Linked DNA regions of Tamandua tetradactyla. The protein of the gene in region 1 purifies or fractionates together with the protein of each later gene. This does not show direct contact. Links are inferred from orthologs where the notes say so. Each region holds a gene or a part of one and is shown in the gene's direction. Other genes may lie near its edges.

Region 1 (9,257 bases):
TTTGAGTAAATTTGGAGTGTTTGGATGGTCACGCATTCACATTTTGTTCTCTTTTCTGAAATGTACTTTTTAAAAATGAAGGCATGACTTCTATTCAGTGAACTGCCCTAATCTTAAACTCTGTGAACTTTGACATTATCTGGACGTTGGAGTGACCACCACCGGGATCAAGATACAGCTCTGTCAGCAGCCCGGAAAGCTCTCTCCTGTCCCTTTCCAGTTAAGTGTCTCCTCTCCCCTCCAAGGTAGCCACGGTCCAGCAGGGGTGTCCTCTCTTGCCTGGGATTGCTTTTTTCTCAACATTATTTCTGGTGATTCCTTCATCCTGTTGCATGTAGCAATAGCTTGTACTTTAACAGGTTTTGTTATATTTTTGTGTATATTTTATTTCTTTTTCTTCCACAAAGAAGCCATACCCCTTTCCTAATCCCCCTGCCTGTTGGCATTTGGTTTTGCCATTGGAAGCACATGTATATTTTATTTGATGATTGGCCTGTTCTAAAGATTTTCTCATTTCTTTTATTATTTCTTCTCTGTCCTATGAGTATTTTTTAAGAATCTTTTTATTATTGGATAAAAGATGACTGGAATACTATGCAGGTGTTAAAAAGAATAAAGTGGATTGTTCTAGTTTGCTAGCTGCCGGAATGCAGTATACCAGAAACAGAATGGCTTTTAAAAAGAGGAATTTACTAAGTTGCTAGTTTACAGTTCTAAGGCCGAAAAAGTCCCAATTACAACAAGTCTATAGAAATGTCCAATCAAAGGCATCCAGGGAGAGATACCTTGGTTCAAGAAGGCCGATGAAGTTCAGGGTTTCTCTCTTAAGTGAGAAGGCACATGGCGAACAGGGTCAGGGTTTCTCTCTCGGCTGGAAGGGCACATGGCGAGCAAGGCGTCATCTGCAAGCTTTCTCTCCTGGCTTCCTGTTTCATGAAGCTCCCCAGGAGGTGTTCTCCTTCATCTCCAAAGGTCGCTGGCTTGTAGGCTCTCTGCTTCTTGTGGCTATGTCGTTCTTCTCTGCTGTCTCTGAATCTCTCTTTCTCCAAAATGTTTCCTCTCTTATAGGAGTCCAGTAAACCAGTCAAGACCCACCCAAATGGGTGGAGACACGCCTCCACTTAATCCAGTTTAACAACCACTCTTGATTAAATCACCTCTCCAGGGAGATGATCTGATTACAGATTCAAATATACAGTATTGAATAGGGATTATTCTGCCTTTATGAAGTGGGTTTTGATTAAAACATGGCTTTTCTAGGGGACAAACATCCTTTCAAGCCAGCACACAGATCTATACATGCTAAGTGAAAAAAAAAAAAAAAAAAAAAAACCCGATATGCCTACAGCCACAAAAGCTCTATGAAACACATCTCCCCCCAAAAAGTTCAGTGGCTTTAAAACAGCAACCATTTATTCTCATGGATGTGGGATTAGCTGAGGGTTGGCTGATTGGGTTGAGCTCAGGTGGGAAATTTGTCCCCCACATCTCCACCGTGGGGTGTGGGCTAAAGGGGGAGCAGCCACGTAGGAGAAACACTTCTGATGATGATGCCAGCGCATGAAAGTAAACATGCAAGGTCTCCGAAGGCCTAAGCGTAGAACTGGCAAAGTTGTCACGTGGCCAAGCCCAAAGTCAAGGCCAACGAATCTTCAGCCCACCTCCATGGAGAGGTGTTTCCTCACTTGTTTTACTTCAATGGGCGCACACACTCCTATATCAGCACACAGCCCAAAGCCGTGGAAGATCTCTGGAAGGTATGTGAGAAGGTATCTAGGGATCAAGAAGAGATGAAGATATGTCATTGGTAACAGAGACCATCAGGAGTTAGAAATAGGGTAAGATAATGGGTAATTGGAGCTGAAGGGATACACACTGTGCAACAGGACTAGATACAAAAACTCAAAAATGGACAGCACAATACTACCTAATTGTAATGTAATTATGTTAAAACACTGAATGAAACTGCATCTGAGCTATAGTTTTTTGTTTGTTTGTTTTGTTTTTTATATATATTTTTTGTATTTTTTATTTTTAATTTTTTCTCTATATTATCATTTTATTTCTTTTTCTGTTGTCTTGCTATTTCTTTTTCTAAATCGATGCAAATGTACTAAGAAATGATGATCATACATCTATGTGATGATATTAAGAATTACTGATTGCGTATGTAGAATGGAATGATTTCTAAATGTTGTGTTAGTTAATTTTTTTAATTAATAAAATAAATAAATAAATAAAGAAGAGATGAAGACCTACTTTTCACTCCTTTTATATTCTGTGAATTTCTTTTTCTGACGGTGCATAAATTTTTCAATTAAGGGGGGAAAAATAAGACTTTTTTTAAACTGGCCAAACTAAGGGACCGGCAAAGCCTTCCTGATCAAAATGGGGGAAAGAAGTGTAATAAAATAAGGCATCAGTGGCTGAGAGACCAAATGGAGTCAAGAGGCTATTCCGGAGGCTACTGTTACCTGAGCGTCGGTTGGAGAGTGCTGATTGCCATGGTTTGCTAACCCCCAACCAGCATCACTCCTGTTGACTCTTCAGAACACCTAGGGCTGGAGCGGAGACGCTATAAAAGTTTCACACACTAATTTTGACTTCCTGGAACCTATAACTTCCAGAGGGTTCCCGGGCCAGATACATCCTGAAACACCAGAGGGACCAGCCTCTCCAAGGTTATCTTAAGTACATCCCCCTATCCTTTAGTGTTGAGACTCCTTCTCAACATGAAAAAATCAGAACCAGCATTACCTAAAGATCCCTATAGATTGGGAGAAGGAGCAAAGGAGAAGGAAGAGGTATGACAGAGAAAATAGGATTTAACAAATAAATATGACTGCTGAATCACTACACTGATTTTAGCCTCCGGTGTTTTGGATCCGCTAGAAGATAAAATCTGAAATATGAAATAATGGAGTGGTAGCCCCTGACAAACTCTGAAATCTATTCTGTTGAAGTGCACTTTGAAAATTGTTGCTTTTTCTTTCCTTTCTGTGTATATATCTTTCACAATTAAAAATGTTAGAAAATAAAAAAAAACTGGATGAGAGGTGAAAAAGAAAATCCTTGACCCATCCACCCATTTTCCTGAGTTGGCAAACTGAGGCCTTATGGAACAGGATGGGGTGTTTGTTGACTGCCTTCTTGGATATGGACTTGGGTAACCTATTTCTCCTCTCTGAGCCTCAGTTTCTTCATCTTAGGTGGGACTAATAATGGTACCTACCTCAGGTGACTATTGTATGGATTTAATGGCTCTGCTACTACTTGGCTGTGTGACTTTAGACAAGCTACTCAACCTCTCTGTGTCTCGTCTTCTTCATCTGTGGAATGGGGATAATCCTAGCACCTGCCTCGTAGGGTTGGTAGGAGAGCTTGGCTCAGCACCTGGGTGTGGCTAAGAACTCAGAAACACCAGCCCTCATTGGTGTGAGGGAAAGTTGCTTGGCACAGGGCCAGCCTAAAGAGATGGTTGCCTTAGTTAACTTTCTTCTTTCAACCTTTCCCTCATTGAATCCTTCCACAATACTGTGTGGTAAACCTGATCATCCCTGTTTTTCAGAGGAGGAAACATGGGCTCAGAATGAGGTCATTTCTTGCATAGTCACATGACAAGGAAACGACAAGGCCAGAATTCAAACTCAGATCTACCTGGCTCCAGGTCCCTTGGCCCCCCCACCCCTCCCCACACACATGTAGTATCTGCTGTGTGCCACCACCGTCTCCTAAGCCTTTTCTCGGGATGACTCGTTAACCCTCACAACAGCCTGATAAAGTAGATTACCCTCACAAGTCCTGTTTTACAGATGGGGAGCCCGAGGCCCAGAGAGGTTATCTCCCGGCTCCGGGACACACAGCCAGTAAATGGCCGAGCTGGGATTTGCACCAGTCTATCACCCACCCTGCCTTGTGTGCAGAACCAACATACAGTGTCCTGAGGCCAAAAGCATGGGAGTGGGTGTAAGGAGGGGAGCTCAGCTGTCCCTTTATCCCTCCCAGCCCCCTCTGGAAGAGTTAGATTGTGCATTCCATCATTTAGGCACCACCATTCTCCCCAGTGCCTTCACTTGTACTTGGACGTGCTAGGAACATGGCAGTGATGGGAGACAGACTTGGTCTTTCCTTTCCATAGGGGGCTCCTGTCCCGTGGTGTAAACAGACCCATTCCTAGACAGCTACAACCCAGAGTGGGCAGGATTGGGATGGGGGAGATCAGGAGGCTGCAGGACCCCCAAAAGGATGTCTGACCCAGCCTGGGAAATCAGAGAGGGCTTCCTGGAGGAGGAGAGGAAGCAACAGGTTGGCTGTGGCTCCGTGGGAGATAACTGACCTGCGCTGAAGTCGGGAGCCTGGTTCACGGTCCCAAGGCGCCCTCTGCTGGAAGCAGCCCCTAGTGCAGATGCTTGGAAAAGCGTGAGTTGAGGTAAAAATCCTGTGCACCAAGCTTGGACCATTTTATGATTCTAGGGTTTGATTCGTTTAGTCAGTCACTCAACAAATATTTATCGAGCACCCAATAAGCTCCAGGCTCTGTTCTAGTGCTAAAGATAAACTTCTGACAATACACAAGGTCAGGAGCTGACAAATTCTAGAAATGGAAGAAAATGTACCAATAATTATAATAGTATACAATCAGTGCTAACATTTGCTAAGTGTCTCCATATGCCCGACCCTGATAAACGTACTGTCCATATGTAACAATAACCCTTTGATTATTCCTATTTTACAGAATGGAAAGTGAGGTATAGAGAGGTAAAGTATTACCCAAGAACTGCACAGTCCGTAAATGCTGGAATCAGGATTTGAATCCAGAGCCCATATTTTTAACCATCATATTACCTCCCCTCTCTAATAATCTAATATAATATGATAACTGAGATGATATATGATATAAATGTTATAACATAATAAATGTGAAATGATGTGTTTATAAAATAACTTCAGGCCCTAGACAATTTTGTGAACAAGATCAAGCAGGGAAATGAAGTAGTATTTTGGTGGGAAGATAATTTAGACGGAGTGGTCACTGAAGACTTCTCGGAGGAGGCAACCTCTGATAAGAGACCCGACCACAGCGAGATCTGTCCGCAGATCTGTAGGAAGACGGTTCCAAGCAGCGGGCGCAACCAAAGCAGAAGCCCCGCGGCCGGCATAGCGCAGCGGCCATGGATCTGGGATCCCAAGCGTCCGAGATTCCAAGTTTCCGAGACGCTAGCTTAGCCGAGGCCCCTCTTTTCCAGGCCCCCAGCGCGCTGGGATCATCCTCAGACCCGACGTGCACCGACAGTTCTGCAATTCCCGCGGGGAGGCGCAGCGGGTCTACACTTTTCTGGGCCGGGGGGGCGGGGCCGGCCTCACCTGCGGGGGGCGGGGCTCCCTGGCCGCCCCGCCCCCCGCAGGTGACGCCGCGGTCGGAGACGCGGGACTCAGCCGGGCTCAGCGGGGAGCGGGGTGCGGCGCGGGTGGGGCGGGGCGCAGCGCGGCGAAGCGGATCCCGGAGGCGTCCGCGGACAGGTGGGCACAGGTTGGCGGGCTGGGCGGGCCGGGAGTCCCGGGGGACCGCGAAGATGGGGGTGTGGGAGGGGCTGCGGGGGCGGAGGGAGAGGCGCCGGGCTGGGCGCCCTCCTGGGCACGCTCCCCTGACGTCGGGGACGGGCCTCGCGGTCCCTGAGCGCCCCCTGCCCCGCCCTGGGGTCGCTCAGGGGGGTTTGGAGGCCCGGCCCGCGCCGCACCCACTCCCCCGCGCGCAGGTAAACAGCCGCGAGTGCAGGGCGGGGCCTGGGGAGGGGGTGCGGGGCAGGGGGAGAGAGGGAGTCCCTTGTGACGGGCGGGGAGGCCGGGGCGCGGGGTACTGGGCCGGCCCGCCGGGAGTAAGGTGGTGCGGACTTGCCGGGGCGGCCTGGAGCCTCCTGCCCGCCTGTGTGTCTGAGAGATGGTGCCCGAGGCCCTTGGGGTGTGTACGAGTGTGTGATGGTATAAGGCTGTGGGTGTGCGTGTGAACGGGAGAGGAAGCGTCTGGGTCACCGCCTGCGGGTGGAGGGCGTGCGTGGATGATGTGGGTTGTGTGATCCATGAGGTGAAAATGTGGATGACCTTCTGGTTGTGACTGATGGTGTGTGTGTTGGGAAGTTGGGCTGTTTCTAGGACTTTGTGTAGTGGGGCTGGTCAGCTTTCTGCTGATGGCTGTGTGTGTGTGTGTGTGTGTGTGTGTGTGTGTGTGTGTGTGTCTCGGGAGTTGGGCTGTTTACGGGAGCAGCCCTAGGTCAGGATGAATAATACAAGACTAGGCACCGTCTGGTTGTGTGTCTCTGAGCAACGCCTGTGTGCAGCTGTGTGTGCGAATGTGAGCAGGAGGTGTGTAACCGTAGGTTTGTGCCTGTAGGATGGTGTGTGTGTGTGTGTATGTGTGAGGGAACTGGGGGAGAGGTGGTGGCATGTCCCTGTGTGTGGCTGATGGAGGCTGGACTGTAGCATGGGACGGTGTGCGTGTAACTGTGGGTGGGTAGAGTGAGGGGTGTGTCTGTGTGTGTGTGGAGCGAAGGCAGGGAGGAGCGTGTCTGCACGGAGGTGCTGTGCCGCGGCCTGAGGCAGTGTCAGTGTGGGAGACAGGGGGGTGGGGATGGACAGACTGAGGGACGTGTGGGCGAGACAGTCCCCTGGCTCCCATGGGAATGAGGCTGGGATGGGTGTGACAGGGCAGACGCAGGTATCCGCATTGGCGCTCTGCATGCAGGGCGTGATTGCCATCCTGTCACCCGGGTGGCCGCCTGCTGTGGGGGCTGGATGAGGGGGACGGTGTGTCTGGAAACAGAACTCTGCAGTCACCCCCCGGGCACATGCAGCTCAGTTATGGCTGAGATTGCATATGACCTCGCAGCGCACGGGCTGAGTCCACAGGACCGGGCGACGCACGGTTGTGGTTGTCGGGGTGACTGCTGAGGAGCCTGTGCGGTTGGGTTTGACTGTTCGTGTGGTTTGTGTGAGACGAACACACACGTACACGTGTTGAAAGAGGGAGAGAGGTGGACCGGCAGCCATCAGGGCACAGAATGCCTGCAGGGCAGCCCTCCTGCCTGCGTGTGTCCAAGGGTGTGTGGTTGTGATTGTGGAGAAGGTGCCGGCCTCCCAGGCTCTTATGGGGTCCCTGTGGCTTCAGTGACATGTGCTGAGTGTGACTGTGGAACTGCCTTCTCTGAGTGTTAGCTGCCATCTATACTGGCGGAACCTACTTCCAGCAGGGGGAATAAGCTAAGTAAGTTCAGGGGTGACTTGCACGTGTGGTGTGCATGTGCACATGTGTGTAGGGGCATGAAGGCCTGGCTGGCCAGGCGAGGGGGCAGGCTGGAGAAATTGGGGGAGGTGGAGACCTGTCCATGAGGAATCTGGGGGAGAGGGTCGGAGGGGGCGTTGGCTGCTGGCGGCCCTGTGCAGGCGGGAGGGGGCATGGGGCATGGGGGCAGGTGAGGAGGTCCAGAGACCCTCGGAATATGAGGGAGAGGGGATTTACTTGGATCTTCCAAGATAAGGGGAAGGGGGAGGAGAGAGTTTCTGCACGTGTTGGCTTTTACGTTTAGAGAATGACCCTGAGTGTTGGGTTGTATTTCCAGGAGGGGAGAGTATGGTGTGTTTTTTCTGAGAAGAGTGTGTGTGTGTGTATGACATTAGGTTGTATCTGTGAAAGGAGAACATGGTGTGCATGAGTGTGTGTGTGGCATTATATTTCTAGGATAGTGTGCACTCGGTGTGTGTACACGTTGTATCTGGGAAGAGAGTATGTGTGTGTATTGTGTGGTGTTTCAAAGAAAGGAGAGAGTGTGTGTGTTGGGTTGTGTTTTGGAAAGGAGAATGTGTTGTCTGAATTTCTGAGAAGAGAGTGGAGTGTGCGTGTGCATGTCGTGGTATGTTTCCTGCAGGCCGTGTGTGCATGCGAGTGTGTCTCTGAGGGTCACACAGGCACCAACAGCTGGGATCGGTGACCTTGAGCCACCACTACCACCCGCATTAGAACCTTACCCATTGCAATCAGGGCCTCGGACCCTCGGCTGTCATGGGGCCAGTGTGACATCCGTGGGCCACGCCTGCCACACGCATGTCCCCACACGCCCTGGGCCACTGGGCGTGTATGTGGTGGAGGGTGGGGGCCCTGCTCCCCCCAGGTCTGTCAGTCTCCCCCATCAGAGCCACATGGGGGCACAGATCGCCCCCCCGCCTGGTCCCCCAATCTAGAGAGCTCCTCTACTTCCGGCACCCCAGCCTCTCAGCCCTCTCCATCCCACCCCGCCCATGCCAGTGGTCTGACTGGTTTCCAGCAAAAACACTCTAACAATGAGCTCATGGAGAGGCTGCCGCCTCCATGCTCCCTGCCTGGCTCCACGCCCCACAGAGGAGGGTGCCCGGTCCAGGTCCCACAGCTGGGAGTTCTGGGTCAGAGTATCCAGAGTCCTTGGGGTGGGGAGGAGTGGCCAGGTGAGCCAGGGGAGGTGTGGGGGCCACGAGCCTGCTGCATGCCTCTCTTGGTTAATTACACATGGCGGAGTTTGGACCTGTCCCCAAAGCTTCCAGAATGTTTCCAGATAAGGGCTGTCTAGGACAGGTGTGGAGGCAGGGGGCTGGCTGGGATGAGGAGGGCCTAGTGGCACAGGGAGAGGTTGCAGTGGGCTGGGGGGCGTCCTGCAGGCTGGAATGGGAGTGGAGGCAGGGGGGTGGCAAGATGGGGAGGAGTTGGGGGTGTCTTGCCAGCTGGGTTGGCCATGGGGAGAGGGGGCTGGCACCGACTCCCCCAACCCTGGCCACCCCCCAGGAGCAGCGATGTCGGTGCAGGTGGCAAGTCCTGGAGGTGCGGGGCTGGGCCCCGAGCGCCTGAGCCCTGAGGAGCTGGTGCGGCAGACCCGGCAGGTGGTACAGGGGCTGGAGGCGCTGCGGGCTGAGCACCATGGCCTGGCCGGGCACCTGGCAGAGGCCCTGGCAGGACAGGGCCCTGCAGCTGGCTTGGAGCTGCTGGAAGAAAAGCACCAGGTGGTGAGCCACTCACTGGAGGCCATCGAGCTGGGGCTGGGCGAGGCCCAGGTATGAGGGGCCAGGTATGGGGGTGACTTAGGCCTAGGGGTGGAGGAGGCCCAGATATCCTGAGAAATGTAGACTGAGGGGTGGGGTCAGGCTGAGGACAGGCAAGGACAGGTGTAGGTCTCCAGTATTGCAGAGGAGTGGGTCTGGGGTAGGGGGAGGCCTTGGGTGACCAGCCGTGGGAGGGG
Region 2 (10,070 bases), on another chromosome or scaffold:
CATACCACTCATTGGGGTTGTTTGGGCTATATGGCAATTCTAAATTTTTGATATTGGAAGGGTCTATCACTAATATGGGGTAGGGAGATGGAACTATCTGATGTTCTGGAGAGGCTGGGCTAGGTTTCAGGACTTATCTGGACCAGGAACCCACCTGGAAGTTGTAGGTTTCTCGCAGGTTACTCTAGTGCCTGGAACCCTTGAATCTTATAAATTGCCCTAGGTGTTCTTTGGGATTGGCTGGAATGATCCTGGTTCGGGGTTGGCAGGTTATTATAGGTAGCAAGGTCTACCTGAAGCTTGCATAAGAGCAACCTCCAGAGTAGCCTCTCAACTCTATTTGAACTCTCTCTGCCACTGATACGTTATTAATTATGCTTTTTTCCCCCCATTTGGTCAGGATGAAATTGCTGATCCCACGGTGCCAGGTCTGGATTCATCCCTGGGAGAACTCTCCCATGTCGCCAGGGAGACTTTCACCCCTGGATATCATGTCCCATGTAGGGGGGAGGGCATTGATTTCACTTGCAGAGTTAGGCTTAGAGAGACTGAGGCCGCATCTGAGCAACAACAGAGATTCTCCAAAAGTAACTCTTTGGCATGCCTATAGGTAGTCCAAGCTTTTATGCTACCTACATAAGCTTCACAAGAGTAAACCTCATGATCGAGGGCATGGTCTATTGATTTGTGTCCCTAAAGTTGGAAACAGTATCAGGGGATTCCCTGATGGTCAGGTTTAATAGTTCCATAGGAGAAATAACTTTTTTTTAAAATTGTATTAGGACTATTGATTTTTTTGAAGGATGACTACCTTCCCAACACACACAATTTCAAATAGATTAAAGATATAAATGATAAAAAACTGTAAGAGAACAAGAAGAAAGTATAGGCACAAATTTTTATATGTTTGGATGTCTGGAAGATTTTTATAAAGATGACAGCAATCTGAGAGGCCCGTAGGAAAAGACTGTAGGATCAGACTAAAAAATATTTGAAACTTCTCTGAAGGTCACCATAAAGTTAAAAGCCAAATGGCAAAGAAGAAAAAATATTTCCATCATATATAACTGCCAAATGGTAATGTCCATAAAACACAGACAATTCCTACAAAATAATAAGAAAAAGACAACCCAATAGAAAAATGAACAAGGATAATATACAGAAAGGTTACAGAAGAAACACAAATGATAGATAATTATCTTCAAACTTATAAAACAGCCAAAGAAATGCAAGTTAATGAGACAGTCTCTCCTCACCCATTAAATTGTCAGAAATTAAAGCAGATTGATAATATCTGTGTTGGAGAGGATGTAGAGAACTGGGCAGTATCATATTTTTATAACATTTATGAAAAGCAATTTCACAGTGATCATAACAATGAAAGTGGGCATATACGGGGGTTTCTGGGGAGTTTGTGGAACTAGGGGCAGTTTATATGAGTTATCGTCACTTTGTGAACTGTTATTGCAGTGTGATCAGTCACTCTTCTGTTTGCATGTTACACTTTATTAAAAAGATTACAAAAAAAGTGTGCAAATTCATTGACAATAATTTCTCTTCTAGAAAATAATCCCCCTACAGAAATACCCATATACATGTGTAAAGATAAAAAGGAGTTAATTGCAGTATTAATTGTAATGAAGCAGGATAAAATAGGACAACTGTAAATTCCTGGTTTCCTATTCAGCTCTCAATGAGTTAACAGACAACTGCAAGTCTCTTGCTTCTTATCTCGTGCCAAAGGAACTAACGCAAACTGCAAACTTCAGCTGCAAACTTTCTGGGACAAAAATTTCCCCTAAAGCCCCCAAACCTCCCCCAAACCATGGAAACTTTCCTAAACCACAAAAGTTTGTAATATTCTGGGCATCAAACAAATTCTTAGTTAATAATAGGAAGTATAGGGTCATAAAGATTATTAACCATCTGCCCAAAGACAAATTTTAGGTATGAGACAACAAACCAGGAATGAATTCCCCTAGTTATCTCTTCCTAAAACAAAGAAGACACCTAGTTTCAAAAGTTACTATGGAAACCTGCCACCAGTAAACCTTTCCTATAAAATAAGCTTACACACTACACTCAGCCCATGTCCCTCCCTTGGGAGCATCCTCATTAACCTCTTTAACGTGTACTCTCTCCTTTAACAAATTTTACTACTGATTCCTACTGGCCCTCTCACCTCTAAATTCTTTTAGTGTGGAGACTAATAATGAACCTGGATCGAACCTGGATTGGGGCTCAGCTGGCACCACTGCCAGCGGGCACCGGTTATAGTAATAGCAAAACTGCAGAGAGCTTAAATGTTCATCAGTAGAAGATTTCTTTCTTAAACATCCATACAAGGGAATACCATAAGGTAATTAAAAAGAATAAAGTAGTTTTATAGGTACTATTCATGAAAAAAGCAATCTGCAGAACAATAATGTAGTATAGTCATTTAAAAATTTCCACCCTTTGATTCCATAAATTAATGCATGATAATAAAGACATTTATGAAAATACAAAAAAGTATAAATTTGAAAATGAATCACTTGTAGTCCCATTACTGAAACAAAACTTATTTAATATTGTTTTATTTTTCTGATCTTTTTAAATAGGTATAATTGTATTTTAACAACACAATACTGAATATGTAATTTTATATCTTGGCTTCTACATACATTGTGAGAATTTTTCATGTGACTGCATAACTTCAAAAATGCATTTTGATGATAAAGATATATAGGGGAAAAAATTAAACTCAGAAAGGTCTAAGATTTTTAAATGAGCCTATATTTATAATAATATTTTAATAAAATAATGCTTTAGGAACACAATAGTGGTAAATGTTAGAAAAGCAATAAAACTGCAAGCTCCTGGGGGCAATGACTAATCACATTTTTTTAATAACGTATTTCCTTCTGTGAGTGTTTTTAGTACGCTGACATGTATCTGTGGATACTCTCATCCAGACAGGTCAAAAGAGCTCTTATTTCTATTAAAGCAAATTCTGTAAAGTTTGGAGACTTCTACTTAAGGGTGTGACCTTAATGACCTGTTGTTTTAGAGGATTTTCAATGGAGTGTAAAGTATCTATTAACACAACAGTGGTAAAAAGGGCAGTATTATATGCTAAACAGCCATGTTTTTTTTTTATGTGTTTATAATTCCAGATGCCATTTCAAAGTCTGTTCACAATTTTTGGTGCCCTGTAAACAATTTCTGTAAACCTTGTTTACTTAGAGAATAGGCAGTACAATCTGAGAATCAATCTAAGTTTAAGATTTCTGCCTTCTCAGCAGTTTCTTAGGAAGGGGCACCTTCGGATAGACTCTGCTAGTCTTTGGAAGCAGTGTTGAGAAGCTCCTAGCAAGGAAAGAAGACGCAGTTGGGAAGAAGCGTACCCACCCCTAATCTCTGCATGTCCGTGACAGCTCTGTATTTGACCTGGCAGCAGAGCCAGCTTTCTAAGGTGGGTGGGATACGTGAACATGTGGAACAAACCTGTGGCTCAACAATATGTGACCACCCCTTTTGGCCACTCACAATTCCATTTTCTTTCCTTTCTCTCAGATTACTATTCTCTCACCCTCCATCTCTTCACTGCTGTTTCTTGAGAGAGCCCTATACTCAACCCTTCCACCCCCTCTCCTTCTTTGAGCTTCTGCCAAATGCAGCCTGGCTTCCAATACCTTTTCCAAGTTGCTCATGAGGGACACTAAAGACCTAACTCTATACCCAGTGGCTTTTCCTCAGTGCTTATCTTATTGGATATCTCTCCATCATTTCACACTACTTACCACCCCCTTTTTTTTTTCTTCTCACTTATATTAACTTATGTTTCTTACTCAAGCTTGAATCATAGAACCATTGATAAGAATTGCCAAACACTTATGGAGTCTCAGGCACTTTTCATGCAATCTCCCACTTAATTCTCATTTGTATGAGGAAAATATCTTTCTCATCTTATAGGTGAGAAAACTGAGATTTAAAGAAGATGAATGATTTGCCCCCATAACAGAGGCAATAAGTAGCTTTTGAATCCAAGATGTCCAGAGCCCATGGCTTTAACTGCTGTGATGTATCGTACAGAGCTGGAAGGGATCTCGAGTCCAGAAAATCCAGTTCCTTTACTGTACAGATGAACTCAAAGCTCAGAGGGTTGAAGTGTCCTGCTGAAGGTCATACATTTATTTAGTCGTAGAATTAGAGCTAGAACCTAGATCTTTTGACTCTTAGTCTTTTACCACTGAAATCTGTTAAGTGATAATAAGTGTGAAGAAGCTTAATTTGGAATGCAATAGGAAGCCTTGCAGTCTCCTTTGCTGGCTCTTCTTTCACCTACCTTTGAAACACAGGTGTTCTCTGAGGTTTTATGCTTGGCGTGCTGCTGCACTTCCAAACACTCTCTAGCTGCTTCCATGGCAGCCTACCTTCTATTTCTAACTCCAGTCTCCCTTTCCAAGTTCATGCAGGGTATTTCTACTTGGATGATCTTTGGGGACATCCCCTCAGAATCAACATGTGTTAAATGAAACTCATCTCCTTTTTCTGCAGTACACCAGTAAGTCTTCCTGTCATTCCATTTTTCGTTGTTTATGGTACTGCCACTCACTATCCCAGTGACTCAGGGTGGGAAGATGGAAAGTTAGTATTGATTTTCACCCTCTCAGAATATTTCTAAATCCTGTCATCTACAAACTCTTGGGGCTTCTACCTCTCTAGTGCCGTTCCTATTTATCCTTTCCTTCCTATTCTCACTGCCACTATCCATTACCTTTTGACTGGACTATTGTAATATTCTGATCATTTAACATACCTTGTAACCATTGTTATTCAACACCTACTAATCTCTATGCCAGTACTATCTTTGCCAGTACTATCTTTCCATGCAAAATCATCAATAGCTCCCTTGTGTCCACAGAATAAGATACAAACATCTTAGCTTGCCATATAAGACTCTTGGTAATTTGGCTACAACCTACTTTTCATTCCACATCGACTGCAGAGCCCACCACATAACTTAGGTTTTATTTACCTGTTTTATTCTTTGCACAGCCATTTATTGAGGAACTGGGAAATCCATTTCCTCAATAAATTACTGGTGTACTGCAGAAAAAGATGAGTTCCATTTAACACATGTTGATTCTGAGGGGATGTCCCCAAAGATCATCCAAGTAGAAATACCCTGCATGAACTTGGAAAGGGAGACTGGAGTTAGAAATAGAAGGTAGGCTGCCATGGAAGCAGCTAGAGAGTGTTTGGAGGTGAAGCAGCACGCCAAGCAAACCTCGGAGAACACCTGTGTTTCAAAGGTAGGTGAAAGAAGTAAAACGGTCCAGATCGTTGCTAACACCAAGCAATTTCCATTGACAGATCTTCCTACTTCCTCAAAATCAAGTTTTCCCTTGGTTCAACTTTTCGGCACCTTGTAACCCAAAGCAGGCTCCCCGAACAACTTTCCTGCTCCTATCCACGTGGACCTAAGCATTAAAAGAAGGCTAAAGGGGAGAAGAAAAAATAGAAAGTGCAAGGAAGAAGACGAGATGTAAAAACTGGAATCCCCCCTTAGCAAGAGCCCAACACTTTACTCCGGGTTTAAAAAGTCTGAAAAGACCCAGGACTGGGTTTAGTCGTGAGAACCTGGGCACGGTAAAGGAAGCCAGTTGATTTCGATAGGGAGGCCTGCCATGACAAAAACAGCCTGTCCCTTTCCCTGCCCTTCAGTCCTAGGCATGGGCCCACAGTAGTAGCCCAAGATCGCTCGCTCAGTCTTTTCAGGCGCGGTTCACACGGGCTGCGCCTCCGGCTGTCCTCTCTCCCTCTTCGCCGTTAGCGCTGCCCCTCAGCTGCGGTTGCAGTCTCTACACTCCAGCTCCAGCGGAGCCAACGGAGGCGGGGCGTCTCGCGGGTTTCAGCCTCTTCGAGAGCCGAGCTCGAGGGCCCGCCCCCCGCGCCAGTTGCCAGGGAGCGGTTGCCATAGAGCTGAGCAGTTGTCCGCGTGCGCAGGCGGAAGTCCCGGATTGAGGCGCCGCCATTTTTGCTGCCCGGACGCGGAGCAAGAGGCTGAGAGAGTCGAGACGCTATCCGCTTCCATCCGTCGTGCACACCCTGCCGAAGCCGCCGCCGCTATGGATGATCGGGAAGATCTGGTGTACCAGGCGAAGCTGGCCGAGCAGGCCGAGCGATACGACGGTGAGTTGGGGGGTGCAGTTGGGGGCTGGGATTCTCGGACCCTCTGCCGCCGCCCACAGAGGCCAGGAGCAGGAGACAAAATGGCGGCATCGTCTCCGGCCCTGACCTGGGGATGTGGATTCGGGAAGGAGGAAATGGCCTCTGGGTTGCCGGAGCTGTGGGAGGCTCCAGGCCCAGGAATTAGACCCCTTCGGTGTCTTCAGTTGCAGCCATTCGCGGGCTAGGAGACTAAGGCGATAGGGTGGAGGAGTTGGTTGTAAAATGGCGGCTGGGGGAGGGCGAGTCCTGGGGCGGGGGAGGGGGGAGGAGATGGCCCCGTGCTGTCTCCAGGCGAGCAATTCCGTGGAAGCTTCTGGGACTGTCTTGTGATATGGAGAACAGTTGGGTGGGGTGATGGGGAAGAGGCACCCGCCACATAGGGGACGGTGGAGACTGGGAGCTGTAGCGCTGGTGTCTTTCAGGGAAACATGGCGGGTGGGGGCGGTGGCTTTTCCCCGGAGGCCCAGTGTGGGGCGGCGGCTGTGGAGACTCACAAAGGAGGACCGTTGCGAGCAGAGGGTTTCTTTGGACTTGGGGTGGGGGACATTCTTGGTGTTGGTGGGAGAGTGGGAATCACTGCAGTTCATCTTTGGGCGGAGGCAAGCTGAGATGCTGCGATCGAATTCCCTTCCCGTAGGGTGGCACACCTTGTAGTGATGGTTTTTTGGGCTTTACGTTCAGCCTCGCCTACTTGTTCTTCTGGGGAGGTCCAGAAAACCTCATCCATTCTCCTTTTCTTCGGACTTATTCAGAGAAGCTTGAAGTTCTTGTAATCTTTGGTTCCAGGAGCAGTGGGTTCTCGTGGATAGAACCTTAAAGAGGAGACAAGGAGATCGTGTTCTAATCTTTCCCGTGTCTCAGTTTACTGGTTGTAAAAATAATGACTTTTCTTTTCACATGCACCTTTATGAAAAACGTAACGACCTTCTGTAGAAGAATAAAATTATTTCAAATAAGGTAGAGTAGCTGCATTTTGGTTAACTCCCCAGGATCGGAGTGGTTCTTAAGCTATTCCAGGTACTTAACTGATGCATCATATGAGAAAAAAAATCTTATATGGTCCCTATGCAGATAGATGTTTTTATGCTTTTGGGGGGGGGGGTCTGGCATGGTCGTCATTAAGTGCGATCCTTAGAATTCTCTTACTTTTTTAAACTACTTATTTTTCAAAATGTCGTAGAGCTCTTGCTTTCCTTGAATACCACTTTGGTCATGCGAATAGCCTCAGGGCTAGCTCTAGTGTTTCACCAGAAATTAGGATTCGGGAATTTGAAATTTTGGTAGGTGGCTAGAACTCAAATTTAGAGAAGGATACTGCACTAAATTTCATCGTCTAAGTCCTTACATTGCTATTTGTATGAGGGAATAAGATGGGAAGTACAGCTCAAGGTCAGATTTGTCTTTATTTCGGTGTTTAAAATTCAAACAATTGTAGGTATGCTTGCAGTGGGAGTTTTTTTTTCCCACTTGGTGTCCCAAATAGGTTCCCCTTTTAATCTGCTGTTGCCGTTGGGGGAGGAAACTTTAAATTATATTTGAATGCTTTCTGTTCTGTAGGGATTTAGACTCTGAGTAAACGTGCTGTGATAACCAAAAAGGATCTTGAGGAATGCTTTCTTATTAAAAAAAAAAACACCAAAAAACAAAACTCGTTTTAAAAGCTGATCTGGGAGCTCATGATTGTATCTCCCAAATAAAGGATAATTTAGTGATAATCATGTTTTGGGATTGAGTGCTGAGGAATTTTGACCCAAGTCTTTATTGATTTTCAATATAGGACTTTTTTTTGCTGGAGCCAGATTTTTACATTGTTTAAATGTTACGTTTTCATTTCAAGGGCTAAAGGGAGAGGAAAATAGGATCTACAAAGGTGGGGGAAACTCCTGTGACTATTTGTGATGAGTTTCAGTGGAAAGGAAGAATACTCACTGGGGATCAGTCTTTACCTGTGTCCACAGATGCATAGGTTTCTTATTGAGCACAATCAATGAATTCAATTTTTTGTTGCCGAAGAAATGATCCATAGTTCTCTACACCAAAAAAAATTTATCAGGTGTAGTGAGTGGAAGAAGATGAAAAATTCATTTGAGTGGTTTGGATTTGGGGTACTTAGGGGTAAATATTGGCTTTCCAACTGCACTAATCGCTTTTTTTTCTCTGTCCTTGCAGTATCCTTGTCTTTTGTGTGCTGTGTTGAACCTAATGTCTAAACTTCTTTGTAGATTCGTTTCCTATTTAATTCTGTCCTAGGGAATTGCAATCAATTTATAGATTTTTTAATGGTATTAGACGAAGAGACAAGCTGTTTTCAGGAAAATAATAATTTGGGGATATATATATGAAATATTGAAGTTTGCTGTTAAGACCGTTCACTTTGAAGATTAAATTTGACATCTTGTCACTTGAGCAAGTCAGATTGTGTATTGGTAGCCATATTAGGCAAGTCCCTTCATCTCTTAGCAATCCTGAACCAAGTCTTACTAGTACTTTTAGAAAATTGGGGAATACAGAGGAAAACAAAGGCTCCTTTTCCCATTTTGGAGGAGTAGAGGAGTAGGCATAAACTACATTTGGGCTTGTGGGGTAGTTCTTTTGTTCTTACCTCAGTTTACTCCTGTGAAGATTGGTTGCAGAGTTTTTGATGATCACTTTTTATTCACTTTCTGTGTGATGAATGCATCAACACCAGGAATATCTCTGTCCTGAATCTTTTACTTGAGAACTGTCCTTGTAAAACACCAGAGCCCCACCTCTATCTTACTCTAGTTAGAGTGGTGGGGACCCTATTGTGGACATTCCTAAGCACCCTTTTTCACCTGTATATAACAGAAGTCTCAATTTGAACTCTTGTATGGGGAAGAATACATAAGTATTAAACTAAGCAAACTTTGGATTCATTAAGTACAAGCATGTGCATGGAAGGTCTGTACAAACAAGCATGCTTTTCATGATTGTTTTTTAGCTTGGTCAAGGGAATATGAAATATATTTTAAATATTTAAATAGCCCAGTAAATTAGTGTGTCTGATTTTACAGATGGGTTTCAAATACTTTTGAGAAGCTGAACTGAAAGCATGACTGTTAAAAAGAGGACCATAAGGCAGATTTTGCAGGAATTTTTTTTTACCTTTTATATGAAGAAAATGTGTATGTAAACAATGATAGGTTAAAGGTTAACTTTTTAGACTTTACATTATATAATACTGTATATAGTTTTCACAGTTCACAGACCATTTCACATGAGGTTTTTACTTCATATAACATCATTGAGGTATAAGTAGTGTTACTTCTGTTTTATGGTTCAGAAAGCTGAATTTGACAAGATTTAGTGGTATCTTCCCCTCTCCCCACATAGTCACATGACTAGTTGGCTAGTAAATGGCAAATTTGTCTGGTCACCTTTAGACCCATACTCTTATTTTTCCTTAGCGGCTCACAAAAAACCTATATATAACTAAGGTGGTGCTTGTTTTTCTTTAAGCAGTTACCTCAAATTAGTAATACATCTTTATGACTTGACTAGTATTATAAAGAGTGATTATTAGTAGATAAAACATAAATCCCAACTCAAAGCATAGTGAATGCAGTTAGAATTAAGTAATTGTAGAATGTATGTTCACTTACAGCTTCTGTGACCAGTACCTTTAAAAACCATTGTTTAGTACTGGGGTATGATTGCTGCCATGCATTTGTATAAAATACTTTTATTGAATGTGGGGTTTAAGTTAATGAAATAGTCATTAAAACTTTGAGTAAAAAAGATTGATGATTTACAAATGTTCCAAATAACCCCTGATGGATGTCAGAGAAGCCATTAAAAAGTAGTAAGGAATACAACAGAATTACTTACTTTTA
Region 3 (10,400 bases), on another chromosome or scaffold:
AAGTAAACTCAGGGAAACCAGCCACAGCTGAGAATAGAAGTGAGTCGCCTTCCTGAAAAAAGAGACACAAAAGTTTACCAGTGGAAGGCTGAGATCTACCAACCCCACCCACCTCAAAGAAAAGTCTGGTACACAAGCCAAGCTTAAGTTCACTTGGCAAGAAATTGGAGAATTCCTCTCTGGGGAAAGTAATCAGCAGCCCAAAATAACATTTAGAATTTCCCTAATGGAATGGCTAGGTCCTGCCAGTCACCCAGTAGTGAAACCCATCACTCCGCAAACCTTACCCACATGCACAGAACTTCCAACAAGTGTAGTTTCTCACTCAAACATTTTAGAACACTCAGGCCCACCACACACTTGAGGAGATCCTCTAAACTGCATGACAAAGATCAAAACAACCACAGTGACAATTTAGAAAGCAGAAAAAAACTAAAAACAAAACGTAGGAGAAGACATTGCTTTATGAAACAAGACCAAAATTTCATTAAAAGCATCCATTCAGAGAAGATTTCTTGTGAGTGGGAGGGTGGGAGGCTATATATATATATATTCCTAAAGGAAATAACCAACAGAAAAGTTAGAAATAAAGTTGAGGGATTCTCCCAAAAAGGGTAACAAAAACAAAAAAGAGATGGAAAATAGAAAACAAAGCAGAGAAGTATAGATTTAAAAGAAGATACTAATAGCTGCCTGGGAGAAAATGCAGATCGCATACAAATATTAGGCCTCAGAAGGAATCAGACTTCTCATCACTAAAAACAGGAGTTAGAAGAAGATCATAGAGAAATGGCTTCAAATTTCAGAGAGAAAGTGATTATTAACCTAGATTTCTGTACCCAGCCCAACTATCAATCAAGTTTGAAGTTAAAGATATTTTATATATGTAAGATTTCAAAAAAATTTATCTTTCATGTATTTTCTCTGGAATGTAACCTCCATATGGCAGGACATTTTGTTCACTGGTGAATTCCCTGTGCCTAAAACAATACATGATACATACAAGCACTTCATAAATATTTATTAAATGAATAATATTCTTTAAAATGAAGGAGAAAAGGAAGTCAACCAACAAGAGAGGTAAAGAGGATATGAAAGATAATGGTGAGTGGAACCTCCAGGATGACAACTATGCATCAGTGCCAGGAAGCAACCAGTCCAATTTAGAGCAGAAGAACAGAGACCATAAAGGGGGGTGTTTCCAAGGGAAAAACCGATGGGCAACCTGATGTGTTCAACTGTATCAAGACTAGCCTTATACTTCCAATGCAGATTTGGGATAAAATGATGAAAAAGTGAGGCAATTATTAACTCCGGAAGAAACAAAAAGTGGTACAAGCTGGGCAATGTCGTTTCCTGAAGATGACTAGATAATGATATAGCTTTCACAATGTGACTGTGTGATTGTGAAAATCTTGCGTCTGATACTTCTTTTATCTACAGTATGGACAGATGAGTAAAACATATGGATTAAAAATAAATAAATAATGGGGTAACAAATGTTAAAATAAATTTAGTAGATTGAAATGCTAGTGAGCAATGAAAGGGAGTGGTAAGGGGTATAGAAAAAAATAGGGGAAGCAGAGGCTAAAATTTATTGGGTAGATGGAAATATTGGTGGTCAATGAGAGGGAGGGGTATGGGGTATGGTATGTATTATGTATGAGTTTTTTTCTTTTTCTTTTTTATTTCTTTTTCTAGGTTGATGCAAAGTTTCAGCTCATTCTAGGGTTTTTCTTAATCCCTTGATGCTGAATCTCAGCTCATTCTGGGATTTCTGTCCCACGTTGCCAGGAAGAGCCACACCTGTGGGAGTCATGTCCCACGTAGACAGGGGGAGGGTGGTGAGTTTACTTGCTGTGTTGGCTGGAGAGAGAGGCCACATCTGAGCAACAAAAGAGGTTCTCCTAGGGGTGACTCTTAGGCCTAATTTTATGTAGGCTTGACCCCTGTGGGGTTAAGTTTCATATGAACAAACCCCAAGACTGGGGAAAGCCCATTTTTTAATAAGTCACTTCATCTGAAATTATAAAAGAAATTTTCTTATATTAACAATGATACAAACAGTGGTTATGTTCTTAGGTTCCCTTCAACTACTTAATTTAAAATTAATACAAAATATAGTCCAATCTAAGTATATCTATGATACATAAGTAACATTTTATAGAATTATTTCCAGGATTCCAAATTGGAAGGTATTATTTCAGTTATTTACTGCTATGTAACAAGTTATTCAAAACTGAGCAGCTTAAGGCACTAACTTTTTAATTATATCTCAGGATTTTAATGGGTAAGGAATTTGCTTCAAGGGGTATAAACTGAGATTACTCAGTGGTATTCAACTCGTGGATGTGCTGGTCTGGACAGTTCAAGATGGCTTCATTCCCATGCCTGGCACCTAGGTGGGGATGGCTGTAAGGCTGTGGTCTGCTGGCTCTGTTGACTGGAATGACTACATATGGCCTCTCCAGCATGATGTTCTCAGGGAAGTTGTTTTTGTTACATGGCAGTTCAGAGTTCCCAGAAAGACTGTTTGAAGAGACCAAGGCAGAAGCTCTGAAGCTTCTTCTCACCTACTGTCAGATGTCATGAGATATCACGCTTTGGCCACATTTACTGAATCACAGGGCCGGTCCAGATTAAAGGAGAGGGACTACACAAAGTTGTGAATTCATGTAGGCCTGGTTCATTGGAGGATCATCTTTGGAGATTCTTCCACAGCAGATATTTAATATTCTAACTGTGTGCAGGTGAAAGTACCACTCACATCTTCACCAGGAAAAGTTATATTAATGAGTCTCAATGGACTCTTAAAGAAATCTACTGTTCCACTGCTAAGGCTGAATAATGAAAACATTTTTTATACTTGGAAGAAAACTGGGATTAACCAGTTTTTTATCAATCTTTTGGTCCCCTAACAAAATATTTCTTAAAGCTGTTTTTGCCTAGTACCGCTATTCTTTATTAGCACGACAGAATAATTTTTGTATCTGTGCTTTTCACATAGTGTTTTTCTCTGCCCTGGTTCAGTGATGACACTCAAGATCTTTGTTTTTCCTTGCTGAAAAGTATCTGTTTCAGGACTGAAAACAGAAGGCTCTTGCAGACACTTCCCTTTTTGGCTTTTGTTTTCATAAAGCCTGAGCTTCCAGAATCTGTTGGGAAAGGGGAAGGAAGTGTCAAGATTTGAAAGGCAACAGAAGTTGGTCAATACCATGAGGAGCAGAGGTTCTTAGAACTTCATTCCTTGGCCCTTTCACCATTCCTTTCCCTTCCCACAACCAGGAAGTCTCCTAACTCACTTCTTTGGAATCTCTAGGGATCCATGGAGTGGTGTCTAAAAATCACTACTCTAAATCAATCATTCCTCATATCTTCTGAACTGGTTATAAAGGGGAAGGATGGAGTAAAAGTTGAGGAACTTCAGATATGGGTGACTGTGCTTCTTTTCTGGATTGTAGGGCATGAAGGAAACAGAGTTAAGAGGTGATTATAACTTTTCTAGCCTGGGAGTATGGAAGATGATGATACTCATCATCACAACTGGAAAGCTGAATAGTTGAATTAAATATTGGCAGGGAGCAGAGGATAATTAATTTTATTTCTGCAGAGTTAATTTTGAGATTATGATAGAGCATTCTAAACAAGGTGGCCTCTAGGCAACTGGAGATGGAAATGTCACACAAGTGAAAAGCTGGGATTGACACAGATTTGACAACTGTTGAAGTGAGCTCATAGAGAAGAGCAGTGGGCAGAGGACAAAGCCTTCAAGAAATTCTGCTGCAGTGTGGCTGAAAGTTGGTGGCCCATCTGACATCTACAGCCTGCAGGAATGTTTTACCTAGCGTACACATTATTTAAATTATTTTTAAATAAATGGGCAATTTATTTAAGAACTGGGAGTTTTCACAAAATCTGGGTTATGGCTTTTCTTGAAAATAGGAAGACTTGACAGTGTTAGCCTATCTTGCCCATGGAGGAAGTTGAGTCCCCACTGCCTCCTTTAGATGAAGGAGCGGCTGTCCAGGTGAACACGGTCCCTTCTAATAAACTTCACCTACTTAATGGCAGCAAAAAAGATTAAAAACAACAGACACCAAAAGTGTTAGATTTTGTTGTTGTTTTACAGACGGGGAGAATAAACATATTTGTTTTCTCCCCCCCCCCCCACACACACCCCTTTAGAGAGGTTGAGAAAAGGGAGAAATCAAAGTTGTTAGAAGATGGGGACCATTAATAGGATCCAGAGAGTAGATGAAGTTGGAAAATGCAGATGAAAAATTAGTCTTAGGGAAGGAAAGCACTGTCATCCCTGGAGTAAAAATCTGTCATTCACCAGACTGGACTAACAAATACACATAAAGCCAGCTGCAAAGTTAACAAGAAATAGTATTTCTCCCAAGGACATGTTGCATCTGTAAAGAGTCACAATGATCCCATTCTTTGAGTGACTTTTGCTTTCTTACTGAGAAACTTTGATCTCTAAAATCAGACTATCAGAAATTGCTGTTAGAGATTATAGCATTAAGAATGAAACATCCCAGTGTCACCTGGAGGACTGAAGACATAGAAAAGAAGCCTCAAATTCCAAGCCAGGTGCAGAGCTTTGGAGAAGGGGTCTCTGAAGACTACATTCCATGTCTCTCACCTTTATAATTTCTAAAGGAACAGGACCCTGGGTCCACTTGGCGGTCCAGTCCCGGTACTGACCCCTTGACTCACACAGCCGGTCCAGTCCCGGTACTGACCCCTTGACTCACACAGCCGGTCCAGTCCCGGTACTGACCCCTTGACTCACACAGGTGTGCTGCGCTTTGTGCTTCTCAAAACAGTGTTTCATCTAAATTTTACATAAACTCCATACATCTCCCTAATCCCGTGATAACTCCATCTTTTCCTTTGTTTGGTGAGATGCCCTAGGGTTCCTCCCAGGTGTGAGTTTTTCCTCATTGCAACGAGTTCAAAAACCTGAATCTTTTGGGGCTGTGGGTTAATCTTCGGTGGTACTAGGATGATTGGGCCAGGAAGGCACACTGGAGGTTTTCATTCCAAGCCTTCATTTTACAAACAAAAACTGGAGACCGAAAAAGAGTTCCTAACTGTCTTTTCAGTTCTCCTTCCCCAGAGCCTCAGTCATTTACACATGAAGCTATATATCCTCTATGACATCCTTCCAAAAAGAGGAAGCGAAATCAACCGTGGCGGGGTGCTCCTCAGACTTGCAATACACACGTTTACCTGAGCCTTTTAAGAACATCTTTCTGCTAACTCCAGCTCAGTCGTTTCTCAGATGTTGGGATTGATAATGTCTTAAAATTTATTATCAGCGAAGTGGAACCCTCCGATTCACCGATGGCCTCACACACCTCACCCTAGTGTTCCGTATTTCTTCAGCAACTTTCTTTCTCGCTTCCCTAGAGGGAATTTCTTTTTCCTTTTTTATTCTGGTCTCCCCAGCCGACTGTCAGGAAGGAGCAACCTCTTAAAGAGAAAGCCATGTTCCACTCTTCATCCAAATCCTCTTCCTTTGTCTGAGCAGCCGTTCTAAAAAAGTTGGGCTAGGAATCAATTTCTCCTCCAGAACAAAACTAAAGCAAGCGCTTCCTTTTAGGAATATAGCATTTTATTAAAACATACTACACGAACTGTTTAAACAACTCCCAACCCCCGACAAAGAAAAGAAAGCGCTGGGGAATATCAGTGGCAGGCGGCGGGGAGTATCCAAACGCGGTCTTTCAAGGTAGCATTCCGAGAAACTTGAATTTGCAGCTCCTCACCGAGGAACGGTCGCGGGAGGTGCCGGCTGATTGGTCGCCCGAGTGCCTCGGCCCCGCCGCGCCTGCGCCTGCGCCGTCCCCGCCCCGCCCTGAGCTGCCCTCCCCCGCTGGCCGCCGCACCCCCTAGCTCCCCTCAGCTCCCCGCCGCCCGGTCGCCGCGCCTGCGCCTGCGCCCTGGAGACTGTCGGATCAGGCGGTCTCCCGCAAGCCGGCGAGCGCACTACCGGGAGGGCAGACAGGTCAACCCGGCGGGCTCTTTCTCGAGGAGGAAGGAGGGGGCGGCATTCTGGGTCTTCAGAATTCCCGGAGGTCCCGCAGTCTGCCCCGGCCGACAAGGGAGAAGTTGGGGAGCTGCGGGACGCTCTGCCGAGTGCCGCCGCCATGGCTGCCATGATGGATCGGAAGTGAGCCTCAGGCCGACGGCTGCCGGCGCCGGCGCTTCCAGTCTCCGCTCCCCGGCTGCCCCGCCCGGGGACGCGCGGCGCGGCGTCTGCGGAATCTCCGTACCCCCGCGACCCGGGCTCGCTGGCGCTCCCCGGAGACCAGAACCTCATCAGCTCGTGCTTGCTTTCTCCAAGACTAAGCAGCGGGGAGTGGCTCCCGGCCTCCAGACCCGGCGGCGAGGAAGATGGCGGACCCGGCCGAGTGCAACATCAAAGTGATGTGTCGCTTCAGACCTCTCAACGAGTCTGAAGTGAACCGCGGCGATAAGTACGTCGCCAAGTTTCAGGGAGAAGACACGGTCATGATGGCGGTGAGTGGTTCCCCCCTCCCGCCCGTCCCTGGTCATCGGACCTGGCTGGTCGGGGAGTTCAGGGCAATGGCGAGGTGCAGAGTTGAGAAGGGAGTAGTGGTGTCCCAGCCCTCCCCACTTGGGTTTGCCGGTTCAGATAACCGTTGATAGGAAGACTGCGCAGCTGCCTGGGTTTTTCTGAATCGTCCCCACCCTGGTCTTCGGTGCCCGGTGATGGGAGGTGCCTAGACTCAGGCTGGGACACTCCCCCACCCGGGGCGCTGGAGGAACCATCCGGGGAGCAAGTTTAGTGCATAGTTGCGTTTGTTTAGGTGTGTGTGTGTAGTTACTGTTGGTGGTGCTTGTTGTTTTGGACAACCCCCATTCATAAAATACTTAGGAGAAAGTAGTTCAGCTAGCAATATTGAACTATGAGGCCAGCCCTACTGTAACTTAAATAGAGGAGATGGCTTTGTTTTATAGAAATATATAACTGCATGTTCAACCGTATTGTTTCTGTCTCGGGAGGAGAAAAATTAGCAAAATAATTCAAATATGCTTGTACCTCAGATGTTCACTCACCAGCCTTTGGAGTTATGAGTGACTTTTCTTATTAACAAAAGCAAATGGCGAATCGAGACCTAAAAAGAATAGTCAGATCGGTCAAATAAGTGCCCAGAAGGATCCAAAATCTCCCCCTTACTGGGTTTTATGATATAATTATCTAGGAAAGAGCTTTACTATTTGGTGTATATCAGAAAGAATTATAAGAAGCAAACTTTTGAAAAAGATAGAAATTGACCAGTGAACTAGATTTCTCATTCTTGGTATTAGAGTCATACTTAACAGTTAGAATCCGTGGTGAAGAAAATTCATTTAGATAATCCCAACGATGCTGACCTAGTGTCCCTTTGTAGGGTAAAGCATAACTTAACTAGAATTGGTTTATCATTGTCAAGGGGAGCAGAATGTGAGGTGGTTGTTTTTTGATACCTGATTTTTATGCTTCTGAAAATGTAATATGGTATAATCCCATAGGACGTGAAAACAATGCTAGTCAGAATTCTAGAGGAAGGCATATCCCTACCAGAAGTGTGTCTTTCATAACCAAAAGGTCTCTGAAAATAACATTCCCAGTTCAAGGAGGTTAACGTGCATAGTAAGATACTGCATACAGAATAGTGAACTGTGGCCAAAAATAAGATTCTTCTTTCTTGGTAATAGCATGTGGCAGAACTTTTTTCTGCGTGGCTTTCGTGGTACCAATTTTTAACATGTTGATTTTTTTCCCTAATGGCATCTGTATTTACTATGTTGTTTGGGTAGCTTAATTTGGAAATGAGGGCAAAGAAGCCACAGGAGATGGGATATTGATGATTGTAAGTATTAGCATATAACTCCTTTGAGGTTTTATGTGAAGGCTCCCAAAATTCAGCTCTAGAAAATGCACGCATTAGCTCCACGTTGCTCTTGGTAGGCTTTTGGCAAACAAGTCATTAGATCACTAACACAACTGCCAACTCTTACTGTGTGAAGACTGTCAGGCTGTTTCTTTGTTAACAAGTCCACAAGAAAAACTCTTGCTATTAATGACATCATTGGGAAGACAAGAAGTTAAGTACAAAAGAAATCAGTCATCTTTTCCTTTAGAATTGTCTTCTTTGCATGGAATCAGAGGAAGCTTGCAGGGCCTGGGTTGTTAGTTGGCATACATCAGGCGTCTAGTTTCTCAGAGTTTTTGTGATTTCCCAGTTTCAACAGTGTTTGACACATCAAAGCTATTTTCCTTTAAAGCTTGTATTAAGAATGTCTTATTTCTCCAGGTTTTTTGAGTATGCAGTATCTGTAAGCATTGCTAATACTCTTTTGCTAGAATGCTAAAATTTAAAATTCATAAATTGTATTAAGGATAGGTTGGAAGTCAACCTTCTACTGCAGCCCAAATATGACATATAAAATGAGGAAAGAGCTAAAAGAAACAAATAATTACCACGGGAAGCATATGTCTATTCTAAGTAGTTTCCTTTGGAATAAGTTAAGTTGTAACCTCCTTGGAAATGTTAATAAATTTAAATGATAATATTGGAAATAATGGATAGGTGATTGAGTTGTGAATCAATTAATAACAGTTGACCTTAAGATAAACTGGTAGGCATTTTAGTCTGGTTAAAAAAAAAAAGAACAGCAACATAGTATAAGCAAAAATACAACTGAGTGACTAGCCTTGAAAAATGTGAGGCAACATAGTTCATTATTTTCGAGAATTAATTTCTTGCATATAGTAAGTACATTAATTCAAGGCCTCATATTTTTGTTCACTTTATTAAATGAACTGTTTTATTTTTTAAAAAAAGCTTGTTTGGAATTATAACGGTAGCTGGGAAGGGTGAAATTAAAAAATCTCTAAACAAAAATCCTCTCCAGGTTTGTTTTGTTAAACCTACTGGATCCTGATCCTAATTCAAAATATGTAGTTTAGGAGGGAATTGCTGCAATGCAACATCTAAAACTAAATTATTTTAAACATGGTTTTAAAACATTTTCTATACAATGCTCCAGTTAAGTAAATTTGAAGAATAAGTATAGTTTATGCTGTTGCTCATTTAAAAGCATAAACTGCTGATGTAGAAAATAGTTTTTAAGAATTTTTAAGATTTTCTTCAAGGTTCATTTTCTAATACTTTGCTGTTAAAACGTTTTTCTGTTATTCATATGTCAGCGACTTTAATATGACCCCATGGCAGGCAAGTCTCTATGAAGTGTTTCTTTGTGCTCTGTAACCTTTTGTACAAATTTAATTGTTATTAAGGGCTTGGTGAAGTGCTGTAAATGTAACATATTGAATGAAATAAGTAAAAGTTTATTTTAAAAAAACCTTTAAATGATACAAATAGAATCCGTTTGCACTCAAACAGGAATCACTTCATTTAAGAAATCTAAGGTATGATCACAGCTCATGTAATACAATTATTCCTATTTCTGTCCCTTTGAAACCCAAGTCAAATGTGAGGGCATCTTATGATGTGGAGTTTGTAGAATGAAAATCTGGAACTTTGAGTATCTTCAGAGCTAAATAGAAATAAAGGCCACAGAAGACATATTTCAGATCTAAGAATCAAGCTTCTTTAACATAGCTGTCCAGATACTGAGTTTTCCTTTGTTTTATTGAAAAGATGATGAGTTGAGAAGGTCTTAATTGTAGACCATTAGGAATAATTTAGTTTCACAAGTTTTGCTTTTCATCCCAGGAATGTAAGGCTGCTGAAAATACCAGAAAAAAAAAAGTCAGTAACTTTATGGCTAGAACTCTAATCAGAGCATTAGCTTTACTTAATAAAATTATAATTATAATTTAATTTTAGAATTAAATCTAAGAAGATTGTTTTGTCAGTTTAATGCTAAGTACTTACTAATTTTTTATTTGACAGTAGCATTTTCTACATAAATCACTTAGTCCCAGCTCAGTTAATTTTTGTTTGCATCTCACCTTTCAATAGTTGCCAGTAAATATTCTTTTCATAAGGTTGTAGTAGTAGTTCTTATTTGCTATGAGGTGACACTAGCATCACTTCAAAAAGTACTTTGAAGCAGGCTTTACTATTATCAATTGACTCTCTTTCAAAATGGCTTTAGAAGAACTTATTTTTATCTATGTGTAAATTGAGACAGGAAATAGCTCAATATTGTTATTCTTTGTATTTCTTTAAGTGTTTATTTTAATACATTTTGCTATTTGACTTATTTTGGAGAGAGAATGGCTATTTCATACTTTTGCCTATTTTCTAGTACATTTGTTTCTTAAAAGTAAAAGAATTAATCATTAACTTTTTCTTTCATGCTGTTTTTATACATCTGTTATTAAATCTGTGTTTTGAACAGCAGCAATATTC

Evidence for each region.
Region 2: the proteins of KLC3 (region 1) and YWHAE purify together in Homo sapiens (affinity purification with mass spectrometry; 3 studies listed by BioGRID and IntAct, with this or other methods). This does not show direct contact. The link is inferred for Tamandua tetradactyla from reciprocal best matches to the Homo sapiens genes KLC3 and YWHAE.
Region 3: the proteins of KLC3 (region 1) and KIF5B purify together in Homo sapiens (affinity purification with mass spectrometry; 3 studies listed by BioGRID and IntAct, with this or other methods). This does not show direct contact. The link is inferred for Tamandua tetradactyla from reciprocal best matches to the Homo sapiens genes KLC3 and KIF5B.

The regions. Positions count from the first base shown.
Region 1 is NC_135342.1:15,650,774-15,660,030, reverse strand, and holds the start of KLC3 (kinesin light chain 3), read left to right. Parts: upstream 1-5,416; 5' UTR 5,417-5,520; intron 5,521-5,858; exon of another isoform or gene 5,859-5,959; intron 5,960-8,806; 5' UTR 8,807-8,814; coding exon 8,815-9,072; intron 9,073-9,257. UniProt on the Homo sapiens protein: Kinesin is a microtubule-associated force-producing protein that may play a role in organelle transport. Plays a role during spermiogenesis in the development of the sperm tail midpiece and in the normal function of spermatozoa.
Region 2 is NC_135332.1:55,180,662-55,190,731, reverse strand, and holds the start of YWHAE (14-3-3 protein epsilon), read left to right. Parts: upstream 1-5,990; 5' UTR 5,991-6,113; coding exon 6,114-6,177; intron 6,178-10,070. UniProt on the Homo sapiens protein: Adapter protein implicated in the regulation of a large spectrum of both general and specialized signaling pathways. Binds to a large number of partners, usually by recognition of a phosphoserine or phosphothreonine motif.
Region 3 is NC_135327.1:219,146,728-219,157,127, forward strand, and holds the start of KIF5B (kinesin-1 heavy chain), read left to right. Parts: upstream 1-5,928; 5' UTR 5,929-6,405; coding exon 6,406-6,531; intron 6,532-10,400. UniProt on the Homo sapiens protein: Microtubule-dependent motor required for normal distribution of mitochondria and lysosomes. Can induce formation of neurite-like membrane protrusions in non-neuronal cells in a ZFYVE27-dependent manner.